7 linked regions of the Canis lupus familiaris genome follow. The protein of the gene in region 4 purifies or fractionates together with the protein of the main gene of each other region. This does not show direct contact. Links are inferred from orthologs where the notes say so. Each region holds a gene or a part of one and is shown on either strand. Other genes may lie near its edges.

What was found.
Region 1: the proteins of DDX20 (region 4) and AGO2 purify together in Homo sapiens (affinity purification with western blotting; 3 studies listed by BioGRID). This does not show direct contact. The link is inferred for Canis lupus familiaris from reciprocal best matches to the Homo sapiens genes DDX20 and AGO2.
Region 2: the proteins of DDX20 (region 4) and SNRNP70 purify together in Homo sapiens (affinity purification with mass spectrometry; 4 studies listed by BioGRID and IntAct, counting the BioPlex papers as one, with this or other methods). This does not show direct contact. The link is inferred for Canis lupus familiaris from reciprocal best matches to the Homo sapiens genes DDX20 and SNRNP70.
Region 3: the proteins of DDX20 (region 4) and GEMIN5 purify together in Homo sapiens (affinity purification with western blotting; 6 studies listed by BioGRID and IntAct, counting the BioPlex papers as one, with this or other methods). This does not show direct contact. The link is inferred for Canis lupus familiaris from reciprocal best matches to the Homo sapiens genes DDX20 and GEMIN5.
Region 5: the proteins of DDX20 (region 4) and STRAP purify together in Homo sapiens (affinity purification with mass spectrometry; 3 studies listed by BioGRID and IntAct, counting the BioPlex papers as one, with this or other methods). This does not show direct contact. The link is inferred for Canis lupus familiaris from reciprocal best matches to the Homo sapiens genes DDX20 and STRAP.
Region 6: the proteins of DDX20 (region 4) and GEMIN2 purify together in Homo sapiens (affinity purification with mass spectrometry; 6 studies listed by BioGRID and IntAct, counting the BioPlex papers as one, with this or other methods). This does not show direct contact. The link is inferred for Canis lupus familiaris from reciprocal best matches to the Homo sapiens genes DDX20 and GEMIN2.
Region 7: the proteins of DDX20 (region 4) and GEMIN4 purify together in Homo sapiens (co-immunoprecipitation; 7 studies listed by BioGRID and IntAct, counting the BioPlex papers as one, with this or other methods). This does not show direct contact. The link is inferred for Canis lupus familiaris from reciprocal best matches to the Homo sapiens genes DDX20 and GEMIN4.

Annotation. Positions count from the first base shown.
Region 1 is NC_049234.1:35,893,113-35,897,274, forward strand, and holds the start of AGO2 (protein argonaute-2), read right to left. Parts: upstream 2,801-4,162; 5' UTR 2,769-2,800; coding exon 2,747-2,768; intron 1-2,746.
Region 2 is NC_049222.1:108,014,585-108,017,717, forward strand, and holds the end of SNRNP70 (U1 small nuclear ribonucleoprotein 70 kDa), read right to left. Parts: intron 1,499-3,133; coding exon 1,411-1,498; intron 1,330-1,410; coding exon 675-1,329; 3' UTR 501-674; downstream 1-500. UniProt on the Homo sapiens protein: Component of the spliceosomal U1 snRNP, which is essential for recognition of the pre-mRNA 5' splice-site and the subsequent assembly of the spliceosome. SNRNP70 binds to the loop I region of U1-snRNA.
Region 3 is NC_049225.1:55,799,058-55,802,292, forward strand, and holds the end of GEMIN5 (gem-associated protein 5), read left to right. Parts: intron 1-157; coding exon 158-254; intron 255-900; coding exon 901-1,068; 3' UTR 1,069-2,735; downstream 2,736-3,235. UniProt on the Homo sapiens protein: The SMN complex catalyzes the assembly of small nuclear ribonucleoproteins (snRNPs), the building blocks of the spliceosome, and thereby plays an important role in the splicing of cellular pre-mRNAs.
Region 4 is NC_049238.1:64,448,322-64,452,322, reverse strand, and holds the start of DDX20 (probable ATP-dependent RNA helicase DDX20), read left to right. Parts: upstream 1-1,201; coding exon 1,202-1,249; intron 1,250-1,321; coding exon 1,322-1,529; intron 1,530-2,536; coding exon 2,537-2,631; intron 2,632-4,001.
Region 5 is NC_049248.1:15,351,553-15,355,498, reverse strand, and holds the start of STRAP (serine-threonine kinase receptor-associated protein), read right to left. Parts: upstream 2,801-3,946; 5' UTR 2,468-2,800; coding exon 2,356-2,467; intron 1,684-2,355; coding exon 1,548-1,683; intron 1-1,547. UniProt on the Homo sapiens protein: The SMN complex catalyzes the assembly of small nuclear ribonucleoproteins (snRNPs), the building blocks of the spliceosome, and thereby plays an important role in the splicing of cellular pre-mRNAs.
Region 6 is NC_049229.1:17,472,640-17,476,801, forward strand, and holds the start of GEMIN2 (gem-associated protein 2), read left to right. Parts: upstream 1-1,362; 5' UTR 1,363-1,413; coding exon 1,414-1,550; intron 1,551-1,943; coding exon 1,944-2,028; intron 2,029-3,587; coding exon 3,588-3,677; intron 3,678-4,162. UniProt on the Homo sapiens protein: The SMN complex catalyzes the assembly of small nuclear ribonucleoproteins (snRNPs), the building blocks of the spliceosome, and thereby plays an important role in the splicing of cellular pre-mRNAs.
Region 7 is NC_049230.1:45,012,478-45,015,961, reverse strand, and holds the end of GEMIN4 (gem-associated protein 4), read right to left. Parts: coding exon 686-3,484; 3' UTR 501-685; downstream 1-500. UniProt on the Homo sapiens protein: The SMN complex catalyzes the assembly of small nuclear ribonucleoproteins (snRNPs), the building blocks of the spliceosome, and thereby plays an important role in the splicing of cellular pre-mRNAs.

The sequences.
Region 1 (4,162 bases), on a different chromosome or scaffold from region 4:
CATTCAACCCCAACAACAAACTAATCTGTTCATCTCTGAAGGCTCCGGGTCGCTGGAGAACCCACTACCTGGAACCACCAAACTCTCTCGAATAGTTAGAATAGTAAGAAGTAGCGACGTACCGAACCTCAGAGCACAAACGCTAATTCACACGTGGAAAGCGTTTATCGTGGGCCTAACACATAGCTACTGCGAACTCTACCTTTTAAGTCAATTTACTCAGTACGTCGCTTAATAAGTGTATTAAAATCGGAAGGAGCAAAACGATTTGTAATTTTTCTACAATCCAGACCGAGCATCTTTTCATTCTTCTAAAATAGGAAATATAACATTAAAAAAAGTTTCATTCAAGAAACTACTCCAAAAGCTCCTTTTAAGCCAAATTAAAAGCCTCGGTGGATAGAATAAAACTGAACTGCACACAGCCTTATAATTACAGCACACTCACAGAGCCTGAAATTTGGGTTCATTCCCATCCTGCCATTAGCTTAAGAACTATCCTACAGACCCATTTATTTTTCAACCAAAGCTGTCCAATTCCAGGGCAGGTTTATCTGCGAACCACGGGGCCCTCTCCCCACCACGCCACAATGCAGAGAATCGCAGCAGAGCCAGATCCTTCCAAAAGCTGTTGGTGACCAGAAAGGAGCCCGGAGATCCAGGGGGGGCTACAGGTTTTTGAAAACAGAAATGCGAGAAAAATACCCCCCGGCGCACAGTTCAGGGTAAGCAGAGCTTCGCCAAGCTCTTGTTTCGATCACACCTGAGCGAGCGCATGCGCACACCGGTCCAGTCGAGATGTAACAGGTATTTCTTAGTGTGGGTCAAGGTCAAAAGGAGCGAAAACCACCTCTTTGAGGAGGGTGTACAGTCAGCTTGGGATCAGACATATCATCCTAATGCTCACCAGCCACATGACCTTGGCAACGTTCTTAACCTACGTGAGCCTCTGCCGTCTACCTTCAAAACGAACATCACCAATTTGCCGAGCCATCCTGTGGGTTAACTGGACACACAACACAAAGCCTGACCTTCCTCAAGGTTCTCTACTTTTTCTGGGCCCTCAACTTTTAAACTGAAAATCTGAAAATAAATAAATAAATAAATAAATAAATAAATAAATAAATAAATAAATCCACACTGTAGTGGCTAAGACTCGCTGGGATCCCTTTACAGGGATTCCTGGGAGATCCCCCCTTGCTTGGCTAGGTAAGGGGGGGTGGGGGGTGCCCAAGACCTGCCTGCCCAGGGTCTCAAGAAGCCAAATCTGCCCTCGGGACGGTGCCCACATAGCCCAGGGCCCTTCCCCACCAGGCCTGAGGAACCTCCCAGATGCAGGATTAAAACCATTCCTCAATCAAGCTGCCCAGAGTCTGGAGAGGCTTAAAAGTTGATGGAACTCGGCCTTGGACAAGCTTTTAGATTAAGTGACATCAGGGGGGAAAAAAAAGACACTCAGAATTCACAAGGCATAGAAGTGTTGGTGGACAGACACAGCAGCCAGGGCCCACGGCAACAAGGGGCCTGAGTGGATGGAGGGGGGGCTTCCAGACCCCCGCTGGGGAGCACGTCTGGGCGGGAGCCGCCAGGGCCCCATCAGCACACCTAGCGAGGGGACCGAGCAAGCCTGCAGCGGCCGGGGCCTGGCAGACAAAGGGGACAGGCGATGCCCCGGCCAAGTGGCAGGCCCAGCCGGGAAATTTAGGAGCCACGTGCCTGGCGGGAGAAGGAAAAAAGCTTTACAACACTTGACTGTTTTCTTGGCCCAGCACCCCGGCTGCCCTTCCACGGTGCGTCGAAAACAAGGGGGGGAAACGTGTTACTCCTTTAAGTTTTTTAGAACTTTTGCAAAGAAAGAGAGCGGCCGGGCGAGGAGGGGTGCTAAGGGAACCGACACTCCTCCTCGCCCGCTTCTAGTAAATTGTAAAAGGCAATTAACACTTGAATAAGCAGCCGGCGTGTCTGGAATGAAAATGAGACGCACGCAGTCTTAGGGTTTTAAGGTGCCGCTTCCCGTCCCTCTCGGGCTACAGTCCTCGCCACCCGCGGGAATTGGCCACAATTCAGCCTTTCCAGACTTTCCTTCAGAGAAGGGGCCGCAGAAGTGCTGGCAACGAGAAAAACGAAACTGAGTGCGCCCCAGGCTCGCCGGGCTCGGGCTGGCTCCGCAGCCGCGCGTCCCCGGCCCCCGCCGCCCGCACCCCGAGCTCGGCGCGACCCGGCGCGACCCCCGCCCCGCCCCCGCCCCGGCGCCCCGCAGTCCCCGCCGTCCCCGCCGTCCCCGCCGACCCCCGGGGCGCGGCGGGCAGGCCGGGGGCGCGGGAGGCCGGGCCGGGCCGGGCGGCGGGCGAGGCGGGCGCGGGCCTCGGGCCTACACGCGGGCCGCGCGGCCCCGGCCCCGGCCCCGGCCTCCGGCTCCACCCGCGGGGCCCCCGGGGCGCGGGGCGCGGGGCGCGGGGGGCGCCAAGGCCCAGGCCGCGCGGGGCGCCCCGACGACCCGGGCCGCGGAGGGAGGCCGGGCTGCGCGCCCGCGCTGGGCCGAGGAACGACCGCCCCCCCGCCCGGGGCCCCGCCGCCGCCCGCCCCGCAGGCCCCGCGCCCCGGCCTCGCCCGCGCCCCCCGCGCCCCCCGAGGCCCGCGCGCCCCGCGCCCCCGCCCCGCGCCCCCGCCCCGCGCCCCCGCCCGCCAACCGCCGCCGCGGGGCCGAGCGCGAGCGGCCGGGCCGGCGCCCCCCGCGAGGACTCACCGGGGCCGGCTCCCGAGTACATGGTGGCGCCGCCGAGGGGCTCCGGGGCCGAGGGGCGGCCGCGCGCGCGCCACGGGCCCCGACGCCGCGAGCCGCGAGGGAGCCGCCGGCCGCACGATCCGCCCCGGCGCGGCCGCCTCGCCAAACAGGTTTACCCGACGCGGCCGGGGCGGCGGGCGGAGGCGGCGGGCGGGGGGGGAGGGAGGGAGGGAGGGAGGGAGGGGCGAGCGAGAGAGGGAGGGGAGGAGGGAGGGGAGGGAGGGGAGGGAGGGGCGAAGGAGAGGGGAGGGGGGGAGGAGGGGAGGAGGGAGGAGGGAGGGGAGGGCGGGGCGAAGGGGAGGGGAGGGGGAGGAGGGCGGGGCGAAGGAGAGGGAGGGAGGGAAGAGGGGAAGGAGGGGGAGGAGGAAGGGGAGAACGGAGAGGGGGAGGAGGGGGCGGGGCGGCGCGCGGGCGGCCGGGAGCCCGGCGGGGGGGCGGGCGCGGGCCCCGCGGGGAGGTGGAGGTGGGGGCGGGGGCGAGGGCGCGGGGCCCCACCGCGGGGGCGGGGCGCGGGGGCGGGGCGGGGCCCCTCCCAGCGGCTCCGGGGGCGCCGTCTTCCCCTCCTGGGCGGAGCGGGGCCCGCGGGGCATCGCCGCCGGAGGCCGGGAAGAAAAGAGCAGAAGCCCCCCCTGGTGTCCGCGCCGCCTCCTCGCATGGGGCGCCCGCTCCGGCTGGGGGGGCGGCGCACGGCGCCCCCCCCCCCCGCGCCCCCCCGCCCCCCAGCGGCCCGGCTGCTGTGGCCGTCCCCGCCCCGGCCCCGGCCCCGGCCCCGGCCCCGGCCTCCCCGCCTGCCTGGTTTTTCAAGTTACTACCGAAAGGCGACCGTGGGGAAGCTCGCGCCCAGCCCGGAGCTTGAACTTGAAGGCGCGGGGCCTGCGCACGACCACACCGCCACCTCCCGGCCGGGAGCCCAGAGCGTCATGGAAAAAAAAACTTGAACAGTGAGTTTGGGGCGCGTGTTAGCTGCGTGAGGTCCAAGCCAAGCCGCCGGGAGGGCGGGCGCGCGCCCTTTGCCTCTGGGACCCCGCCCCGTGCTCCCCGCCGTGCTCACGGAGGCCGTCCCTCGCCCCCACCCGGGCCCCGGCTCCGGCCGCGGTTACCCCCTCCCTCTCCTCGTTGATGGGGGTTACAAGTCTCAAGGTGACACGAAGTCCACACTCGCTGGTCGCCGATGTAACCTACCCGCCTGCGCTTTCCTTCATCCTATAAACGTGTGCTACCTGCGTACTGGGTGCGAGGACCTGAGTGTTCCTCCTGCCAGGGTGATGCAAAGACCAAGAGCCCTGCCTGCAAGGAGCTTAGCATCCTAAGCAGGCTTTGCAAGTCTCAAGAACATCCCTAAATAAATGCCAGAAAACCATGGTTTCCTCCAGAGAG
Region 2 (3,133 bases), on a different chromosome or scaffold from region 4:
TGACAGAACCTCTCCTATTTCTTGTTAATCCTCCACTGTCACTAGCCAAGTATGAAGATACTCATGGTCAACTTCCTATCATGAATCGCAGGCCCTTTGCCCTTCCTGCAGATGTTCTGCAGCCTGTGCTCCTACTTCATCTCCTCAGCCCTTTCCCCACTCTACAACTCAGTTTCCCTTTCAAACAAACTTGCAGCTTCCACCAATCGAGTGTCTAGAGCCCTATCCAGCCACCGAGACCTGAGTAGGGATGGCGCCCCAGGGAATGTATGGAAGATGTTTAAAAAAAATCACAAAAGGATAAAGAACCCTAACAGAAGGAACCCTTAGAGCACCTCCTTATTCCATTTTAAGGTCTGGTATAGTCCAGGTAGCCCCAGACTTAGGTCACAAAGCCCAAGTTCTCAGCAGGCCCAGGACACAACCAAAGTAGAACTATCAACAGTCAGGTGATGACCTTCTGGGGAAGGCAAAGAGCAGTGAAAAAGAAACCAAGGTGCTCATTATCAACAGGAAATTAATTTTATTTTTAAATCCAAGGGGCCAGAACAAATAAGGGAGACTCCTACCCTTGGCTGGCAAACTTAGGTGGTGGCCAAGAAGATTGGGGGAGAGGATGACAGTAAATGGGTGGGTAGGAACACGTCCAAATAAAACAGTGGGGGAGGCCCTCTTCACTCTGGTGCAGCCTCCATCAAATACCCGTTCTCCGGAGCAAGATACCCATCACCTCCCTCAGACTCCATGTACATGTCTCGGCTTTCGTTGCCCAGACCCTCCAGCCCGTTGTCCTGGCCACCACCACCCCCACCTCGGGCCTCATCCCTGCCCCGTTCACCACCCCGCTCCCCCCGCTTGTGCTCGCGATCCCGGTCTCGATCGCGGTCCCGACGCCGCTCTCGCTCGCTCCGGTGGCTCCGACGTCGTTCCCGGTCACGATCCCGACCCTTCTCCTCTGGACCATCAGGGCCATCAGGACCCAGCTCCCCAGGAGGCCCATCGTCAGGGGGCGCATCACCGGCCTCAGAGGGCTCCGCCATGTCACCGCCACCGCCGCCGCCACCACGTAGCTCCTCCTTGCGCTCGCGCTCCCGTCGTGCCCGTTCTCGGCTCCGGCTACTTCGCCGCTTCCGCTCCCGGTCCTTGTCCTTACTCCGCTCCCTGGAGCGCCTCCGCTCCTCCTTGTCGCGACTCCGTGAGCGCCGCCGCCGGTCCCGAGAGCGGGAGCGTCGCCGTTCTCGCTCCTTGTCTCGCTCGCGGCTTCGTTCCCTGCGCTCCCGCTCACGGTCCCGGTCCCGGTCCCTGTGGGGAAGCGGGGAGGGGCCGGGCCTGGATGAGGTGGGCAGAGGTTTGCGGCAGGGTTCCCCATGTGACCACCCCGAGCCCAGGAAACCAGCTGCCTAATCTTACCTCTCATCGTAGCGGGAAGTATCGTCCCGGCCTGAATGCCGGATGTTCACGTCAGCCCCGCCTCTTCTGGTCCCGCCTAGGCCACCTCCTGGGGTGGGGGCAGGCGAGAGAGGGTCAGTCTGGGTAGCTGGCTTAGGGAAGGGAAAGGAGGGGCACCAAACAGCAAAGGAAAGGACTGCAACCACCTCTGCGAGGTGCACTTTTAACAGGACAACCTTGCTTCAAAGACACATGAAGACCGTCACCAAGTGCCCAATGGGAAACACCTGCAAGTTCACACTTGAACTTGCACTCCAAAGCGCAGATCCCTAACTGCTAGGTACCACCGAGCGGCCAAACCCTTTCCCCTCAGGTGTCTTCTCCCACCAACCAAAGCCACTGACCTTTTTTTTTCTTTAAGACTTTGAGACAGAGCCAGCATGAGGGGTGGGAGTGTGTGGAGGGGCTAAAGATGGGGACAAGAAGACTCCCCACTGAGCAGGGAGCTCAACTCCAGGACACAGAGATCATGACCTGAGCCGAAGGCTGACTCCTGACTGTGCCACCAAGGCACGCCAAGCCAATAAACTTTCTTTTTTTAAGATTTTATTAATTTATTCATGAGAGACACAGAGAGAAAGAGAGAGACAGAGAGGCAGAGACACAGGCAGAGGGAGAAGCAGGCTCCATGCAGGGAGCCTGATGTGGGACTTGATCCCGGGACTGCAGGATCACGCCCTGGGCCAAAGGCAGGCGCCCAACTGCTGAGCCGCCCAGAGATCCCCCCAATAAACTTTCTAACTGAAAATGTGATCTGCCTCAAAACCTCCAATGGTTTCCCAATGCTCACCTTTCAAACCAGGAGCCCCTGGTTCTTTACATTCTGGGCTATTCTCAAGCTCTTTTCCGTCCTAGTTTGGGGGATCATTCATCTTTTTCTCTAGAATCTTACCTTCCTGTGGAGTGAACTTGTTCATCCTTTATGTGTCAGCCCATACATCACTTCTTCAGGAAGCCTTCCCTGACCTACCAGATTAAGCTGTTCTCCACTATATACTCACAGCCCACATACATTTCCTTCCTGAACCTTTAAGGGGGAGCTTCACATTTCCTACATCTGTGTGAGTTGAGCAATGCCTGCCTCTCCCGGCAGCCTGTGACGCACTGTCAAAGTCGGACTACATCTGGCTCTGCTCGTTGTAACCAGCATGTGGTATAGCACCCAGAATATAAAAGTCTATGTACTGTCATCAAATAACTGACTGAACAACTCTAAGAGGAAACAAAAGACTCCTTCTTCAGATGAGAAAACAAAGACAGTCGCTTATCCACAGGGACTTGGCAACGAAGGTGCAGAAATGGAACAGGACTGCCGGCTGACTCCAGAACTTGGCCCTCTCGTGCACCCTTCTGCACCACACTAACCAGAAGAAAGCTTCAGTGAGGCAGGCCCGAGTTCCATATAAGGAAATGACTTTTCGCAGTGCTGGTGAAAAAGGAGAAAGGCTGCTTGGAGAGCAGACATTCTAACCAGGACAGGCAACTGATCAGGCATCTGGAACATTACACGTATGGCAAACAGACCACTGTCTTCAATTTTCAGGTCATGATCCAACTATGGAACCCATCTTCAATTTGATGGGTTGGAACCAACACATTAAAAAAAAAAAAAAAAAAAAGTAAAATACTAGTATACACTGCCCGTAGGAAAGATAATTACTATTCATAAAACTTCTGTTTTGGA
Region 3 (3,235 bases), on a different chromosome or scaffold from region 4:
CTTTTTACCACATCACATTAAATCCCCTCCTCTTGACCTTGGTATTAAAGATGAGAGGTAAGACCCAGATGACAAAAGAATTTTATTTATAGGATAACAGTTAAAAGTTATGTGATGCAAGGCATATGACTTATGCTTTTTTTTTTATTATTACTAGTAAAGAAGAAAAAAATCAGCCACTTTCTCTGCCTGAATTAACCAAAAGGCTTACAGAGGCAAATGAGAGAATAGCTAAATTTCCTGAGAGTATTAAGGTAAGATTTATAGCAGTTCATTTGGTAAAACATGGTTTTTTATATTATCAATTTACTAAACCAAATTCTTTAAGGTTATCTGATTCTCTGTACTGTTTCGGAAATCTCTACACATCTGGATATGCTTAAAAATTTAGGATCCCGTGGTCTTTGGTTAACTAAAATGGGAGAACTGGATTATTGACAACACAATTTTATACCTCATTCTTCAGAGAAATGAAACAAATTTTGGAATTGGGAGGTAAAATAAAATTAAAATTGGTACTTGACAGGATGAGCACTGAGTGTCCTACTGTATGTTGGCAAATCGAACTTCAATAAAAAAAAGTTGGTACCATGTATTTGATAGTTACAGATGGATGAGTGTATTTGAATGTGGCACTGCTAGTAAAAGGAGAATCATGTTTTGAATTGAGTGGGGCTCTAGAAAAAGATTCTTTCATTTGAAGAGGATATCCCAGTATCCATCTGTTCTGAGTATTCCCTATCCTTAGAGTAACTGATGAAAAGCCCTGAAGGAGAAATTGCTAAGTTGTGCTGAGAAGTATCACTAAATGAGACTTGAAGGCGCTGGTGCCTCTCTCTATGCAGGTCTATGTGGCTCATTTGCAAATGCTTCCTTATTCATCCCTGTGTCATCTTTCAGACCTGGCCCTTCCCAGATGTGCTGGAGTGCTGTCTTATCCTGCTTCACATTGGGTCCCAGTGTCCTGGCAGCGTGACCCAGGACATGCAGCAACAGGCCCAAGAGCTCCTTCAGAAATATGGCAACACTAAAGTTTACAAAAGATACTGCCAGACCTTCTGCACATGAATTTTCAAGGAACTTTAAGAAAACTGTGCCAAATTCAGAACATATGACACCTTTCACCTCTGCAGTTACACCATGCCAGACATTCACTTTGATCCCTGGGTGTTTTTGCAGTGATCCAAATAACACAAATGGGGGTCAAGTTTGAATTGACTCTACCCTTAGACATAGTGAAATTGGACTTTGGACTCAGTTGTGGTTTCCTACTGGAGGAAGGATCATGAAAAGCCAGCAGTAGGTATTCAGAACACCTGCAGTGTGATTGTTGGTCATCTCTAAAGCCTTATGCAGGTTTCACCCAAAGAGGAGAAACTTTTTAATTACCCAAAGTATTATGTTCTCAAACACAAACTACCTTTAAAAATACTTAGCCTAATGGTAAACATGTCATTCTTGTTGGAGACAGAATTGCTCCATTTTATGACTTGGTATTATTTTTCTTATATTTGTTAATTTGGGTTCTCCCCCTTCTATTCTTTCAAAGACTTCACTTAGAATGTGAAATAGGCCTTTACCCATCATGTTGACTCTACCATCCATCTGAACTTTAGGTCAAAAACTTGGTTTTATTGTTTCATGTAATTGCTTATTTGAACAAATCATTTACTAAAGTGTTAGAAGAACAAATAACTGAAATTCAGATGTGTCTTATCCCTTCAGTTTTGTAAAATGTAATGGTGATTGAACAGCTCAGAAAGAAATTACTGTTTCAGTGGTTCTTAATCTTTTTTGGATCACAGGACCCTTTGAGAATTAAAACCACAGATGTTCTTTGAAGAAAAATGGGTAATTTTGCATATATAACTTTTGGATCATTTGACTCCAACTTCAGCATAATGGGATCCTACATACTATTTAATTATAAAACCTGTTCGTTCCCCCTCTCCTCCCATTATTGAGCATTCTCTTGAGGTCTTTTCTTTTCTCTGGTTAAATAGTTGAACAGTGTCAGGAACAGATGTTTCTGTAATATCCCAGTTGCTGGAATGTAAAAATCAGAAATAGTCTGGGGTAGGGTTCGGAGGGAGCACTCTTTACCAATAATGTAACTATTTTCTTTTGGAATTCATTGTGAAAGCTTTTCTGCTTGAGTGTCCAGTTTACTTTTCAGTTATTTCCTAAGTTGAGATGGTTGTGGACAACAAGAATAAAATTCACTAGCAGGAACTCTAGGAAGGAGAAAGTTTTAAGAGACCGTTATGTAAAGATCTGACTGACCAGGAGTTTTGTTTGTTTAATTAGACCTAGCTTTAAGATTTAAAAATGCTAAACCCAAAAAAGGAAATACTGTAGAATTTAGATCCTCCTAATTCTTTAGTTACTTGAGCTTGAGGAAGAAGATGCAGGTTACCAGAGATGGAGAATCTTGGTTGCAAAAAATTATACATAGACATGACTATGTGGAGGACTAGATACCAGTTCTACAGTCCTTGCTGAAATGAACACACACTTCACTTGCAGAGACAAAAAAATATTTATTCCCTATCATTTAATTAAAGAACAGTATTATTAAACTAGACATTCTAAACTCCTTTGTGATTTACCAGAACCATCATCTGTGCTTAGAGGAATCCTGCAGTCCTCGATTACTGCTTTGGTAAGAACAAGCGTTACTACTTGACAGCGACAGCTAATCAATAAAACTACCCAGAAGGTAACAGGTGACACAATTCCACTTCAAACAACCTCTTCTCTTTCCCATACTAGATAATTTCTATCTCCCTAATTATCAGAACCACAGAGAGCCAAAGCACTGAGGAGTTGACTCATGCTTAGTAGTTCTCACTAAGCAACTGAAGAAGTAGTGTTGGTCCTTTACCCAATCCAAACCACCATCTTGTTATCCAGATGACTGCTCTCACCTCCCACTGTCTCTATCTGCTCTTATTACTGATTCTCCATTCTTCATTTACCAATGCAAGTCTAAATTACAAACCAAATCTTGTCAATTTCCTGTTAAAAATTATTTCAGTACTGTCCCATTGTTAGTGGAAAAAAGATCATCTTGCAGGGCACAGGAGGCCCTGCCTGATCCTACCTTTTACCCCTTGGCCTCCTGTTTTTAGACTCTCATCCTTGCTTCTAGATTCCACCCACACTGGTCTCTTCGGCTGTCGGAACTACCAAGTTTTCAGTGGTTTTGCCCATGTTGTTCTTTTGCCTGGTCCAT
Region 4 (4,001 bases):
TGTTCAATAAATGTTGAGCACTTCCTATGTTTTGAGATCTGATTTTGTCCCCATTAGGAACACAGGAGAGAGCCAGACAAGTTCCTGTCCTAGTAGAGTGGGGGATACAGACAATAAACAGTCTTAGGGTAGGGGTAAGTACCGTGGAGAAAAATAAGGCAGAACAAGAGACAGAGAGTAGTGGGAAAGGTGGGCGAGTGGAGGGGGTGGGGTAGTTCTGTTAGAGAACACTAACAGGTAGGGGTGAAACAGGTGATAGAGATTGGAGCGTGATCGTGATGAGCCGAGTCATGCGCAGGGTGGTCGAATCCCTATGCTGTGCGCGTGAGGTCGACGTGACACTGTTGACTCTGCTGGAGTGAAGATGCAGTGACGTGGCTGGACCGGGACCGTATTATGCTGAGAGGAGGACGATTACGTGGTTCCAGTCCTATGTGGAGTATAAGGAAGCGTGCAATGGTCATGGGGGAAGGGACAGAAAACCAGAGGGAGCCAAAGCCTGAGGGACTTAGCTCTAGGAAACAGACTGGGGGGCGCTGCGGGGGGGGGGGGTAATGGGGTGATGCGGTGAGCACTGGGTATTATCTGCAGCGAATGAATTGCCGAACCCCACATCTGAAACGAATGATGCACTTGCAGGCTGGCTAATCACATTTAAATTAAAAAAAAAAAAAAAAAAAGCACACATCGCGGTGCTGCAGGTGAGGCGTGGGCTCCTCGGGAAGGCGCTGAGCAGAGACCTCCGGGAAGGGGAAGCTGCGGACCGTCGGTGGCCCCCGGGGAGGGCGCGCGGGGTGCGCGGGGGCAGGTGGAGGCGCAGCTGGAGGCGCAGGGCTGCGGTCAGGGGGCTCCGGGGCCCGCTCCGGGTTTGGGAGGTGGCAGGTGGCGGGGTCGCTCGGGGAGCCGCGTGCCCCGCCGGGGCCAGGGCACAGGGTGCTGGAGCCGCCCCGAGTCGACAGCGGCCGGACCGGACCCGACCCGGACCCCCAGGCGGCGCTCGGGCGCCCTGCGCGGGCGGGGAGGGCTCGGCGGCCCGGGGGCGGGGTGTGCCCCGCGCGCACCGCCGAGCCGACTGCCGGCCCCGCTGTCTCCCGCGAGGACTGACAATAAAGTTTTCCGCGTTCCCGTCCGCGGGCTCCCCGCCCCCGCCTCAAGTACCGCGAGACCCGGCGGCGCCGCGAGACCCGGCGGCGCGGCGGCGATGGCGGCGGCGTTTGAAGCGCCCGCGGCGTTAGCGGCGGCGGGGCCGGCGGGGCCGGCGGGGGCGGCGGGGGCGGCGGGGCCGGCGGGGCGCGTGGACCCCCCGCTCGCGGCCTCGGAGGCGGCTCCCGGGCCGGCGCGGAGCCTGCGGACGGCTCACGACGTCGGCGGCCCGCGGGCTCGCACCGGGGACGTGCTGCTGGCCGAGCCGGCCGACTTCGAGTCGCTGCTGCTGTCGCGGCCGGTGCTGGACGGGCTGCGGGCGGCCGGCTTCGAGCGGCCCTCGCCGGTGCAGCTCAAGGCCATCCCGCTGGGGCGCTGCGGGCTCGGTGAGGGCGGAGGAGGCCGGGCCGAGGGCGGCGTTCGGGCGGGAGGTGGCGGCGGCCCCTTCGCAGGGACCGGGAGGTTCGGGGCCGAGGCCCGCCTCCGGACGTGCCCTGAGGCTGTATCCGTGTGTGTGTGTGTGTGTGTGTGTGTGATTGATTGATTGATTGATTTATTATTTATACTTATTTATACTTATTTATACTTATTTATATTTATTTTTATTTATTTTTATTTATTTATATTTATTTATATTTATTTATATTTATTTATTTATATTTATATTTATTTATATTTATTTTTATTTATATTTATTTTTATTTATATTTACTTATATTTCTATTTTATATTTATTTATTTATATTTACTTATATTTATTTATATTTATTTATATTTTTATTTATTTTTATTTATTTTTATTTATATTTATACTTATTTATATTTATTTTTATTTATATTTATACTTATTTATATTTATTTATATTTATTTATATTTACTTATATTTTATTTATTTATATTTATATTTATTTATATTTTTATTTATTTATATTTATTTTTATTTACATTTACTTATATTTATATTTTTTATATTTTATTTATTTATTTATATTTACTTATATTTATTTATTTTTATATTTATCTTATTTCTATTTTTATTTATTTATATTTTTATTTATTTATATTTTTTTTTTATTACTTTATTTATTTTTTTTATATTTTATTATTTTATTTTATATTCTTATTTATTTCTCTTTCTTTTTTTTTTTTTTTTTTTTTTCTTTTTTCTTTCTTCTATTTCCTTCTCTTTTTTTTGTTTCTTTATTTTTATCTTTATTTTATTTTCTTTATATTTATTTATTTATTTATTTAAGAGTTAGCTAAGAACGAAGGTGCCAACCAGGTGATCCCTGGAGACACCTCCGGTTGTGTGATTTCGTGTTGGTATCCAAGCTTCTTTAGTCCCGTGCTACCTTGTGATCTATTTTCTTTTGTTTTTTTTTCCCCCCTCAGATTTAATTGTTCAAGCCAAGTCTGGCACTGGGAAAACCTGTGTGTTCTCTACCATTGCTTTGGACTCTCTCGTCCTCGAAAACCAAAGTACCCAGGTGAGTATGATTTGGAGGACCCAAAGGAGGTCATGTTATGTGGATGTGTGTGTGTGTGTTTAAGATTTTATTTATTCATGAGACACACACAGAGAGGCAGAGACACAGGCAGAGGGAGAAGCAGGCTCCATGCAGGGGGCCTCCTAGGGGCTGCGATCACCAGATGCGAGATGCTCAACAACTGAGCCACCCAGGCGTCCCTGTTATGTGGACTTTATCACGGGGTCGGATGCAATACCAGTAGCTCCCGAGAGACAGATGGATTTGATGAATGCTTGAGTCAAGCAAATGAAAGGTCTAGAAGTTAAGGAGACATTAAAGCTATTGGATGGTGGTGGTGTGGACAGTGACCAGGGTTCCGTCGTTAGTGTTTGGGAATTTCTATCACTGCATCCTTAATGTTTGGGAATTTCTATCACTGCATCTCTAATAGATTATGTCTGCCACGTGTGTCGGTTTTTGCATTACCTGAGAATACAGGTAGGGTTTCTTTATTCTTTTACTTGCTGACCCGATTGTGGTAAGATTTAGTATTTGGCCTGACTGATGAGAAGACAGTGCGCTGGCTATTGCTGCTGGTAACTGCAGGTGATTCTTAGAGCTCTGTGAGTATACCCTATTGGTCTCCCATTTCTAGGTTTTCTTGGAGTAGGTCTAAAGATGGTCTGCCCAAATTAGTAAGAGACTTAGGTTTGGGGATCCTTTCTTTAACAAAGTTTTGTTGAGCCCGTGTTATGTATAAACAGTATGCCAGCATATCCACATTCCTCTATGTCTACCAAATCCTGGGTTGTGCCCATAGGAAGCCCTTTTGCTTCCCAAAGGCCTAAGCTGTTCTACTTGTGAATTTGAGATGTAGTTGAGATTCTGGCTTCTGACAATTTGGCAGTAGGTGAAATGCTAAAATCCCGAATAAGTTCCATAAACCAAATTTGTATTTTTGAACTAAAGATCTTTTGTGTTCTCAGAGTAATACATAGTCATTTTTGAAAGTTGGAGAATTCAGGAAAGCAAAGAAGTACCAGAAAACAACACATAATCTCATGTACCCAGAAACTGCTGTGAATTGTTTTGGCATATTTTCTCCCTAGGTTTTTTTTTTTTTTTTTTCTTCTTCTTGTAGCTGAGAACATGTAGTTTCACCTTGTCCTCCCATAGTTAGTTACCTTAGTCTCAAGGCTCTCTTTCATGGACCTAGATATCTGACCCTGATTTGGTCCAGTGACATGGGCCTCCTTGCTGTTCCTCAGGCACATCAAAAACATTACTGTCATAAGGCCTTTTCATTTGCTGTGTCCTCTTCCTAAAAACAGTTCCCCAGATGTCACACAGCTAGCTCTACTCTGCAGCGTACACTTAGGTCCCTAATG
Region 5 (3,946 bases), on a different chromosome or scaffold from region 4:
CAACAGGGCACAGTGCAAAGCCCTACAATGGTTATGAAGAAAGACATAATAGAAATCTATTCATTGAAGGCACAGAAAAAAGTTCAGGCTGACATTTATAACTTTTCTTGTTGATCTCTCATCATCTCAAATTTAATTCCAGGTAAGCACTGTATCGCCCTCTCCTTATTTAAAAAAAAATTGGAACTTATTTTTTAATCTTACCTATGGTAAAATCCATTCTGTGATATAGAAATCTACATGTTTCAACAAATGCATAGTCATAAATCCATTACCACCATCAATCTACCTTCATTTTTTATAAGACACTTTGTATATTTGATTTGCTTAGAACAAAGAAGTAACACATTAACAATTGCTCCCGTTTGGAATTCTGAGAGGAGAGAGGAAAACAAAGCCATTTTGACTTTCCAGACTGGAGTCTAACAAGGTTTACTATCGCACAATAGCTCTTGACATTGCCTTTATCAGTTTAAACCTCTCAGGGTTAAGTCATAAAACACAATTAGGAACTAGAATACCAAGATTATATAAAATAGGAAAGTGCCCTGAAGGGGAAAGTGGGTCATTGCAAGTCACTCTAACATATGCAAAAGCCAAAAACCAAAATGGTAAGGTGTATTCTGGCAAACAGTAAGTTTAATATAACCAGACTGTAGGGCATATGCTGTGCAGTGTCAGACGATGCTGATAAATTAGGATGAAGTCAAGTTTCAAACTGGCAACAACTGCAATTCAATCTTTAGGCCAGTGATTCTAAGGCCTGACATCAGAACCAACCAGAAGAACTTTAGGAAAGGAAAACACTGATGTTGGGATTCCATCCCCAGATCAATTCAGAATTTCTCAGACACATGCATATGAATATTTTAAAGCTTCTGGGGTTATTTTTGGGTTCACTCAAGGTCATGAACCACTGAAACTGCACAGGGAAGACAGGAAGATCACTGGAGAAATGACATGATAAAATTTGTTTTTAGGAAGCTGGGAAGATGCAGAGACAGAAAGATAGTGGTAGAGGCATAAAAACCATCATAGTAGACACTCCGTTGGTATACAACATAGACATAGAGGGGAAAAAATCAAGAATATTTAAATTTCAGCCTTAAAAAACTTAAAAATGAAGAGTATTTGAGTTTTAAATAGGTACAAAGCTAGTTAACAAAAATGGAGTGAGACAGGGCTAAAAATCTGGGCCATCAGCAGTAGGGCATCACAGGAATGGTATTACTCAGGAAGCACATGTTGAGCATTTTTAAGCACAACAACCAAGATTCGTTATCTAGAGTGCTTATCGACAATACAGATTCCTGGTTCCCAATTGAGACATACAGAATAAGTCATTTAAAGTCTCTGAAAATTGATGAGAACCACTGAAGAGAAAAAAGCAGGAAGAACCAGAGTGGAGTTTTTAGAAAAGATCAAACATCATGTGCTCTATATGGCAGGCACGGAGTCAAAATTTTATGAACTGAAGCTGAAGTTTTGAGTACTTCACAACACAATCCACGGGGATCTCCAACACCCGCCAATTTGGCTATACTTACGCAGTGAAATCTGCAGCTGCTGTAGCTGCTTTGGTGGCATCCTTATTCAATGTCGCGCCCCAAACAGCACCCTTATGACCCAAAAATGTTCCAATCCAGTCTCCTGTATCTCCCTGGCGTAGCATAGGTTTCCCGTCTAAAACACATTTAAAAAGACATGTGACTTAGGAGTTCGGATTACTTAAAATCAAAGACCCAAACATAAAGTGACCGTGATAAATGCCAAAGTGTTAAACGGCTTTTGTTGTGTAACTATCGTTATTCGCTGGGGTCACTAAGAAAAGTCCAGAAATAAACTGAAGCGCTGAGCCAGACATTCTCCCTGAAGCATTTATAATTCGGTGGGACTAACGCTGATCCGTATCAAAATAATCTAAAGTTGGGCCTAATTTTGCACAAACTTAACCTAAACCTCGGTTTCCAATTGAAAAATGGGGCTAATGCCATAAAGGAATGTCCAATAAATTAACAGCAATGACAAGTCTCTAAAATAGGGAAAGGTATTACTTGGCTTGGCATATTTTCTCCACCCCCCCACCCCCCATCCTTGAAAGATTTATTTAGAGAATACGATGGCCGGGGTGTCTAGGCAAGTGTACAGCCCCGCTTCTCCAGAAATGCCAATTTCTGGAAAGTGAAAGGAGAGGCCTGAGTTGGGGGCAGTACTTACACTGTTTTCCCCATCAGACCACTGCTGGCCCCAACCTCAAAGACTGAGATTCCCCCTTTGTCACTGGGGAGGACCGGCCACACTACCTTCTGGCCCAGTCCTAGCCGTGAGGGACCCGCATCCAGGGGCCCCGCTCACCTTTGCAAGCGCTGATCAAGAAATAGCCATAGGGCGTGATGCCACTGAAGGCCAAATCGACCACAGGCCTCGTGTGGCCCGAGCAGGTGAGCGGCGTCTGCCTCATTGCCATGGCGGCGGCGAACCGAGCGATGCGGCGGAGGCGTCGAGGGTCGTCGTTTGGGCTCTTTCTTTCGTCTGCCGCAGAGCCTCCGGCTCAGGGCCCCCGCCCTGACACTGGGGGCTGGGGCTGGGCCGAGAAACAGGAAAAAGAGGCCAATCGGGTAGCACCGAGGTCAGGAAAGGGTTGGGGACGGGTCAGGGAGCCTGCGCCCGGCGACCGACAGCCGCCAAGGGAGGGAGAGGGAGGGAGGGAGGAGAGTAGGGGAGGGGGAGAACCGCAGAGCCGGCGGCCACGACCCGCACCGTCCACACCGGTACTGGCAGGAAGTGATGACACCAATGACGCCAGCGTCCGTCGGAAGTGACGATCTGGCAAGAGGGCTCGTTTGCCCGGCAGCGGAGCGAAGAGTGCGGCAGCGCGCAGGCGCGAGGTCGGCGCACGCTGGGCACGTGACGCTGGCCCCACGCCGGCTGCGGACGCCGGGAGGAGCTCTGGTCTGCGCGGAGCCCGCGGGGCGCGGTCTGAGCCGCCGGCCGCCGTCTGTCGGTCCCCGGGCGGGGCGTGGTGAGTGCGGGAGCCGTGGCTGCTCGTCTCCGCCGCGGCCCCGGCGGCCCCTGGGGATTACGCGCCGAGCGGTGCCCGCGGCCGGGCTGTGCTGTCGCCTGAACATCTAGGCGGGGAAACCGGCAAACATCGTCTAAAAACTTTTTTTTTTTTTTTTTTCCCAGTTCTTATCAACTACAAAGGAGGACCCTCTGGTGTTGTCTGCAAGTTAAGGGCCGTGAGAAAAGTAATTTCTCCAGGCACTCCTATGTAAAAGTCCCCGTACCGTTAGCGTTTTCGTCCTGAGTGTTACGTTACCTTCAAGTGGCTTATCCTGGGCGCCCGGGTGGCTCGGGGTGTGATCCCGGGGCCCTGCGATCGAGTCCCGCATGGGGCTCTACGCAGGGAGCCCGTTGCTCCCGCTGCCTGGGTCGCTGCCTCTCTCCCTGTATCCCTCATGAATAAATAAAATCTTTTTTAAAAAAATAAATGACTCAACCTTTTAAGGACCTCAGAGGACTCTGGAGCAGTGGCCCCCAAACTTTTTTTTTATTTTTTAAAGATTTTTATTTATTTATTCATGAGAGACACAGAGTCAGAGAGAGAGGCAGAGACACAGGCAGAGGGAGAAGCAGGCTCCATGCAGGGAGCCCGACGCGGGACTCGATCCCGGGTCTCCAGGATCACGCCCTGGGCTGAAGGCGGCGCTAAACCGCTGGGCCACCCAGGCTGTAAAACTCGAGTCTGCACTCTCGTTGTGCGGATAATGATGTAGATGTTACATACCTGTACGTTATAATTAGGCGTAAACATACTAGAAGGATCTGAAAACTCAATATAAATAAAAACTCTGGGGAGCCTGGGTGGCTCATGTTTGAATATCTGCCTTTGGCTCAGGGTGGGATCCCGGGATCCTGGGATCAAGTCTCCCATCAAGCTTGATGC
Region 6 (4,162 bases), on a different chromosome or scaffold from region 4:
CCGGAATCGAATCCCACGTCGGGCTCCCGGTGCATGGAGCCTGCTTCTCCCTCTGCCTGTGTCTGCCTCTCTCTCTCTCTCTCTGTGACTATCATAAATAAATAAAAATAAAAAAAATCAGTAACATTTTTAACCAAATAACCTTCTAGTTTGCAGTCAAGTAGTGTGTTTCTGAATCTCCCAATTGTTTACTTACAGTTCATAAGCACAAATTCCTTTAGGTCTTAACCCAGGAACTGTCCTCACTTTATCTTCAAATGAGAAAGTTACATTCTGGTTTTGAAATCAATTACTTGCAAGCTAAAGGCAGTGCTTTAAAAAAAAAAAAAGCTTTAAAAATAAACATAATCTTAGGAAATAAAAGTCAATTATATTTACTCAGAGCTTCTTTAGAAAGAATCAGATATAACCTTCATTGTTCCTTGGAATGTCGCCCAGCACAAGTTACTTAATCCATTTCTGACATGTTTCCTCACCTGTAAAATGGAGATAATAGTACCTACCTCACAAGATTGGCCCTAAGATTAATCATGGTAACTTTTGGGTATTGGCATTAGCTTTATCCTTTCACTACTCATTTAAACAAAGAGATCTCTCAAGAAAAAGGAGGAGGAGGAGGAAGAAGAGGAAGAAGAGGAAGAAGAAGAAGAAGAAGAAGAAGAAGAAGAAGAAGAAGAAGAAGAAGAAGAAGAAGAAGAAAGCGATGTCTACTCAACGACTAATATTCATTTCCAGCAAATACAAAGGGATCTTTCAAGTAGCCAAGCGCAAGAAATTTCTCTGGAAAATTAATATTTCATTCATTTGGCATCAGATAAATCTGGGTTGGAAATGGCTCTTCTACCCTCTGTCTCACTGTGGGAGTGAAAGTCACAGTTGTAGTACTTAACCCTTCTTTATATCGATTTGCTCCCCTACAGAACCAGGATAATACCACTTACTTCAAAGAGTTGGTGTAAAAACTAAACGAGGAAACATACGTGATATGTCTACCAGGGGTTTAAGAGCTCAACTAAATGAAGTGGATTTCTTGTAGACAATTAAAAATATAGAGAGAGAGAGCTCAATAAATGGTAATTACAATAACACTGTTCATTAATTCAAAAGATATCCAAGGATCCCTTACTACTGCAGATGCATAAAGCTTAATAATCCTCAGTGTTTACCCTGGCCTTAGGAGAGAGAACAGAGGGAAACACGCAGAAACACTTCAGGACCACTTCTGCAAGGAACTAAACTTCACCGTCTCCTTACACCACCCGAGCCTTAAGTCTGGGACAACCGGCCGGCTTCCTCAAGCGCAATTACACTGCCTAAGCTCCGCCCCCTTAGACTCCGCACTTAAGGTCTGCGCCTGCGCCGTGACCTGCACTTGGCGCATGCGCCAAAGGGGGACTGGCGGGATTAAAAACCATGGCGTGGATGCCAGCAGAATCCGCAGTGGAAGAGTTGATGCCCAGGCTGTTGCCAGTGGAACCGTGCGACTTGACAGAGAGTTTTGATCCCTCCGTCCCACCGAGGACGCCTCAGGAATACCTGAGGCGGGTCCAGTGAGTGATTTGGCCCCGTGCGGGTGGGCTGGTCGTCCGCTCTGCCCCCGGGCACAGCTCGACCCCTACCTACGTGTGATAAAGCCCCGCCTCAGTGGCCGTTCCCTCTTTCACGCGAGGTAGGGTCGAATCAAGATCACTTGATGACATCTTTACCTGGGCGAGTTTTTATGAATGTAATTCTGTTTACCTGTGTCAAGATGTGTGCTTTTGGATTTCCTTGCTTTCCAGTTAGTTTCGGAAATAACCTTGTGTAGTACGTGCATTGCGCTTCCTTTTTTTTTTTTTTTTTTTCTGATTTCGTGAAGAACTGTAGAATGGATCGCTCGTTTTACTGCACAGGAACAAAGCACAGCCGTAATCACATTTCTTGCATTTATTACTTATTTGTAGGATCGAAGCAGCTCAATGTCCAGATGTTGTGGTAGCTCAGATTGACCCAAAGAAGTTGAAAAGGAAGCAAAGTGTGAATGTTTCTGTGAGTTTTATGACCCAGCAGGGGATTCTCCCCTTCCTCCCCCTCTCCCCTCGACCAAATGGAAAGCTCAGTGGCCTTCCTGTGGTATCCTGTAGTATCTTTATGATTTATGTAAGATTGGACTACTTCCTGAGACATTGAACATTAGCTTGGACTTTTAACCCTCAAAAGGACAGTTGGCATTTACTGCCCCCAGAGCAGTTTCCAGTAACCCTGGCATTCGTGGAGACTCCTCATACTTCAGGGCTGTGATCCAATTCTAAAGGACTCTAAATAGGTTACTTACGTTATTCTTTATTTTTAAGGAACCTTTTTCCAGTCTTGTTCATAATTATTCTTGGATTGGTGTTTAATGCTATTTAGTGCAATATTGCATGTTCTGAATTTGGGCTTTGTTTTTTTAAGAATAGAAACTCAGGTGTCTTACATTTTTCTAGTTACTTGCACACACACCTTGAATATTTTTTGTGAAGTGACTAGGTTGTGCCAGGCCCTGGGATTACAATAGAAAATGAGGCACAAAAATCCCTACCCTGGCAGAGTTTACATTCTCCTGAGGAATACAGAGTAAACAAGCAAACAAAGTAATTATATATTATGACTTTTTTTTTTTTGAGATTTTATTCATTTATTCATGAGAGACACAGAGAAGAGAGGTAGAGACGCAGGCAGAGGGAGAAGCTGGCTCCTTACAGGGAGCCAGATGTAGGACTCGATCCCAGGACCCCAGGATCAAGACCTGAATGAAAGGCAGACACTCAACCACTGAGCCACCTAGGCACATCTATATTGACTTGATATGAAGAAAATTAACCTGTATATGACCAATAAGTAACAAGGTTACTTGTTTACAATTGTACTGTTGACAATTAAAATTGTCACAGAAAGTCTCTCTAAGGACATATTATTTAACCTAGGGTCAAAGGAGAGCAGCAGTTTTTAAATTGTGATAGGTCCTTTTCCTCTTATGAAATTTTAATTCAGATGCTATAATGTTTCACATATTTTCAGAAATTTTTAGTTGATGGATGAGAATATCTTATCTACCTAGCTTTTAAAAAACACACTATTATTTCAAGGCAATATGTATTTCAAGGCAGTATTTTGACCTATTGTGCTGTCTTAGGAAGCTGAAGTAGCCTTTGTAAAGTCAAATGTCTTAGATTATTTGAGTACATTCTGCCAATACCAAATTCTTTATGTGGGTTATGTCTCCTCATTTCAAATAATTGTCTTCTTATAGAAAGGTAGGACTAAATTATGTCTTCAGGGCTCATATAATTTAGATTTCTTAGTTTAGAAACTCCAAATATGAACCATTCCAGATTGCTCTTATTGAAGTGACCCCACAAGGATCTTTTCCTAATGTTCAAACTTGGACATAAATAGTAAAGTGAAAGGCCTACTTTTTGGCATCTGCAGAGTACAGTATCTTTCTTAGATAGCCTTAATCATTTACTTTATTACTCTTCATCTTGGTTGTGCTTTTACTTTGCAGAGGAATGACGTTCTAGTTATAACACTAACATCGATTCTAATATTTATGAACTGATCTCTAGCTTTCAGGATGCCAACCTGCTCCTGAAGGATATTCTCCCACACTTCAGTGGCAACAACAACAAGTGGCACAGTTTTCATCTGTTCGACAGGTGAGCGTACTTTAATCATTTTATCAAATTAAACCCCTTCCATTAGAAAGACAGTTCTAATTTTACTCATATGGAATATAAGAAACAGTGCAGAGGATCATAGGGGAAGGGAGGGAAAACTGATTGGGAAGTAATCAGAAAGGGAAACAAGCCATGAGAGATTCTTAACTATAGGAAACAAACGGAGGGTTGCTGAAGGGGAGGGGGAGGATGAGGTAATAGGGTGGTGGGCTTTAAACAGGGCCTATGATGTGATGAGCACTGGGTATTGTATGCAGCTAATGAATTCCTGAACTCTACATCTGAAACTAATGATGTAATATATGTTGACTAATTGAATTTTAAATAAAAATTAAACCCCTCTCTCCCTCAAGAATTATTTCTGTTCTTAGACTGTAGTTGGAAAAATAAGATTCATTATACTTTTTTTTAGATTTATTTATTTGAGAGAGCGAAAGTGCATGCAAGCAGGCAGGCATATGAGT
Region 7 (3,484 bases), on a different chromosome or scaffold from region 4:
CCACCCCAGGCAGAAGATAATTACACCCGTCCTTTAGATCCATCTCTGCTGTGTTTACCAGACTTAGTTTTCACAGCCCCTCCTGGATCCACTGAATGGAGTTGACTATATGGCAAAAGTCCTCAATTTAGAACACACTCATTTTCTTGGGGTTATTAGTCTATTTAATTTTCTTGGTCCAATGCTTTCCTTTTACAGTGCTGCAGGCTTTTTGGGTTCAAAAGTCACACGGCTAACCAGTGACAAGTTATTTTCCTTGCTGCCCTTTCCAAGACCCCACAAAATGACTATTGAAAGAGGGTTTCAGAGCAAAACAACACATACCTAGCAATTTTTCCACTTGGGTGGTTTCACCTTTGGACTTCTTTGCCAAATTCTAGGGTGGATAAGTCCAGTTATGAAAATGTCCCTCCCAGCTTGCCTTGATCTTTAAGACCCTAGCTGTGCCCAACTGCAGAGCACATCTAAGCCTAGACTACTGACGAGACTTAGAGACCCGATCAAAATCAAAAGTGAATTTAATAATTTGTATGTTACAACCTAAGAAACTATTTTCTTTACAGTTACTGCCATATACTTTTAGCTTGTGTACAATTTCACATCACCGAAAAGCTTGTGTTTCTCAGCTCGAGCCCTTAGAGCCCCCCACCAAGGCAAGGCCCAGCTGTTTCCTGGTCTACAAAAGTCAGAAGTTGCTGATCTTCTGCAGCAGGGTTTGGCGCCGTTCCTCAGGGCTAATGTTCTCAGCGATGGACTTTAAGAAGCGCTGCTCATTTACCTTCTGGAGCAGGGAACTACTAGAAGGATTAGCCTTGCTTAGGGTTTCATAGCAGGTGAGGATTTCCAAGGCCAAGACATACAGCGGCTCGCACACCTCGTGGGGGAGCATGGCCATGATGTGCAGAACGTGACAGAATACCTGGGTATAAAAAAACAGGGTTTCCTGGGTCAGGTCCTGTTCTTGTCCTTGAGCCCAAGGGCCAACTGACTGTATCATCCTAACGGAGTCCAGGAGATTGGTCAGACTGTTACAGAGAAGCCTGACTACATGGCTCCAGCCTTCTATAGGAAGCCAGTTACGACAACTCTGGCTGCAGAGAAACTGGAAAACTCTCAGCAAGAGTACGGACAGCTGGAGCTCCGGGGCAAAGGGCTTCAGGTTGAGCAGAGGAACAAATTGAATATATTCCAGGCTATAAGGGACATGTAGGAGTTGTTTCTCCAATAGTCTCCTGGTCAGCTGGTAAAGGTACTGCCACTCTTGGGAGCTGCACCAAGGCATGACTTGTACCAGGGCCACCAGAAAGCCCTTGCTGAACAATCTGACCTCTTCAGGGTTACCCACATCTACCACCAAGAGGGACAGCATCTGCTCAGAGATGCTGCTGGAAATGTAGCAGCACTCCATCCAGGCAAGAAGCCCTGTGCCTGGCCCATACCCAGGGTGGGCCTGGGAAGTCCATTCATCCTCAGAAAGCTTGCAGATCTCAAAAAGCGTGGCTGGCACCTCACATTTGAAGTGGCCCTCAAAGAGGTTCTTCATCCTCAGGCGCACTGTCCAGTCGAGCTGCTCCAACTTCCGGTGGAGCCAAGACAGGGACTTGATCCAGGTGTCTGGGGAAAATGTCTCAGCATTAGCCAGTACGATCTCACAGAGGATCTCCAGGATATGGACCACCAGATCCTTCCCATCCAACAAGAGGCACCGTTTCTCCTTGGGGAGCTGCCAGTATTTGCTGAAGCAGTCCAGGAGCTGGCACAAACTGAAGATGAGGGGGAATGGAGAACAGGTCTGGAGCCAGTATTCCTCTAAACATGCATTTGCTTCAAGAGTCTGGAGGAAAATCTTCAAACTGAGGTCTACCTCTTTGACATCAAGCATCAAGAAAGGCAGGACAAACTCCTTTAGCACCTCATGTGGCTCAAGAAGAGCAGCAACCGGGATACCCTGGGGCTTCACAGGACTCACCAGGCAGCCCAGGAGCTCCAAAAATTGCTTTTCTTCCTTAGGTGTAGAGAACTTTGTCCAAACAGTTTCTTTGAGGCATGACACCACAAAGGTAGTAGATGCATTTGGATCCTGCTCTTCGGTGAACCTAAGGGCAGGGAAGGCAGAGAGAATCTGAGCCAGGAATTTGTGGGTGCCAAGGTTGACCACAGCCATGCTGCACATTTTCTTCACTGTGATCTCCGGGTGCAATATTATCAGGCGGGCCACAGAAGCCACCGCTTTAGCTAAGCCCTGTTCAGAGGCACTCTGCGCAAGCTGGTTAAAAGTTGTGTTGAGGTCCTCCTGAAACCCGTCCAAGTAAGCCAACAGGTTCTCAGAGAGACCCTTCCGCCCCCAGGAAAGCAGGGTGCCTGAGAGGACTTTATTTTTATCTGGCAGCGAGAGGTCTGCGTAGCATTCCAGGATCAAGCCAATCACTTGTTTGATCTGAGATTCAGGGATGGCTCTGTCTGTCGCAGTAACTTCCATCACTGTTTCCAGCAGCTTTAACACCAAGTCTGGCTCTCGGAAGAGAGCCCAGTTATTAACCAGGCAGGCTAGCCACTGGTCTGAGAAGGCCCACTTCTTCTCAGAAGCAAAAATGTAGCACATTTCCATATGCCGGTCCATCTTCTGCTCAATGATGGCCATGGCAATCGAGGCGGTGATGTCCTTCTCAAAGCCCTTATTCTTCAGCACCCTGTTTGTTTTCCTCAGGAAGTCTTCGACACACTCTGCTAGCTCTGAGACCACCTGCCGCTCCTCCTTAGACAAGCTGGTAGAATCAAGGTAGAGCTTCAAGTTCTGGCTGAAGGAAGTCAGGCTGTCACACAGCCGGTAGCTGTCATAACTTGTCCCCTGGCTGCTGTTGAGCATGGTCTGCAGCTCCTTCCCCCACTCCCGCAGGAGGCTGCACATGAACTCAAACCCAGTGAAAATCGTCTCACTTGGAAGCTTGGCCAGGGAGGTCAGGCTGACGTCCCGTTCTGCCTCCTTTACCTTCTCTACTAGTGCCTGTTGGTAATACGGGTTCTGGGTGTCCGAATTCCACACGGAGATCACTGTGGCCAGTTTGTCCAGATACACAGTTGCAGACACTTCCTGGGGGTCATCCTCCATCAGTGCAAATACTGTTAGCATGTCTGCTAAGTTGGCTAATGCGCAGCATTTCATCCCTGGGCACAGGATTCTATTTTGGATTTGCTTTAGCCCAGTGAGCAGCATGGCCAACAGGGGCATAGTGGGACACACCTCTGGGTCTGACTTAAACCTCTTTGGAGGATGGGAGAACTCATCTGAAGAAGACAAGTACTTATGGGCCATTGTTCTAAACTGGGAGAGCAGAGGATCCTGCTGATTGCCTTTGTGCTTCATCATTTCCCACCAGACACTGAGGAAAAAGGCCACATCCTCTGAAGAAGTGTCAACAGACATGTGCTCCAAAAAGCGCTCTAGTTCTGCATGGCAGATGGTGGTGGGCAGGGCCATCAGAAG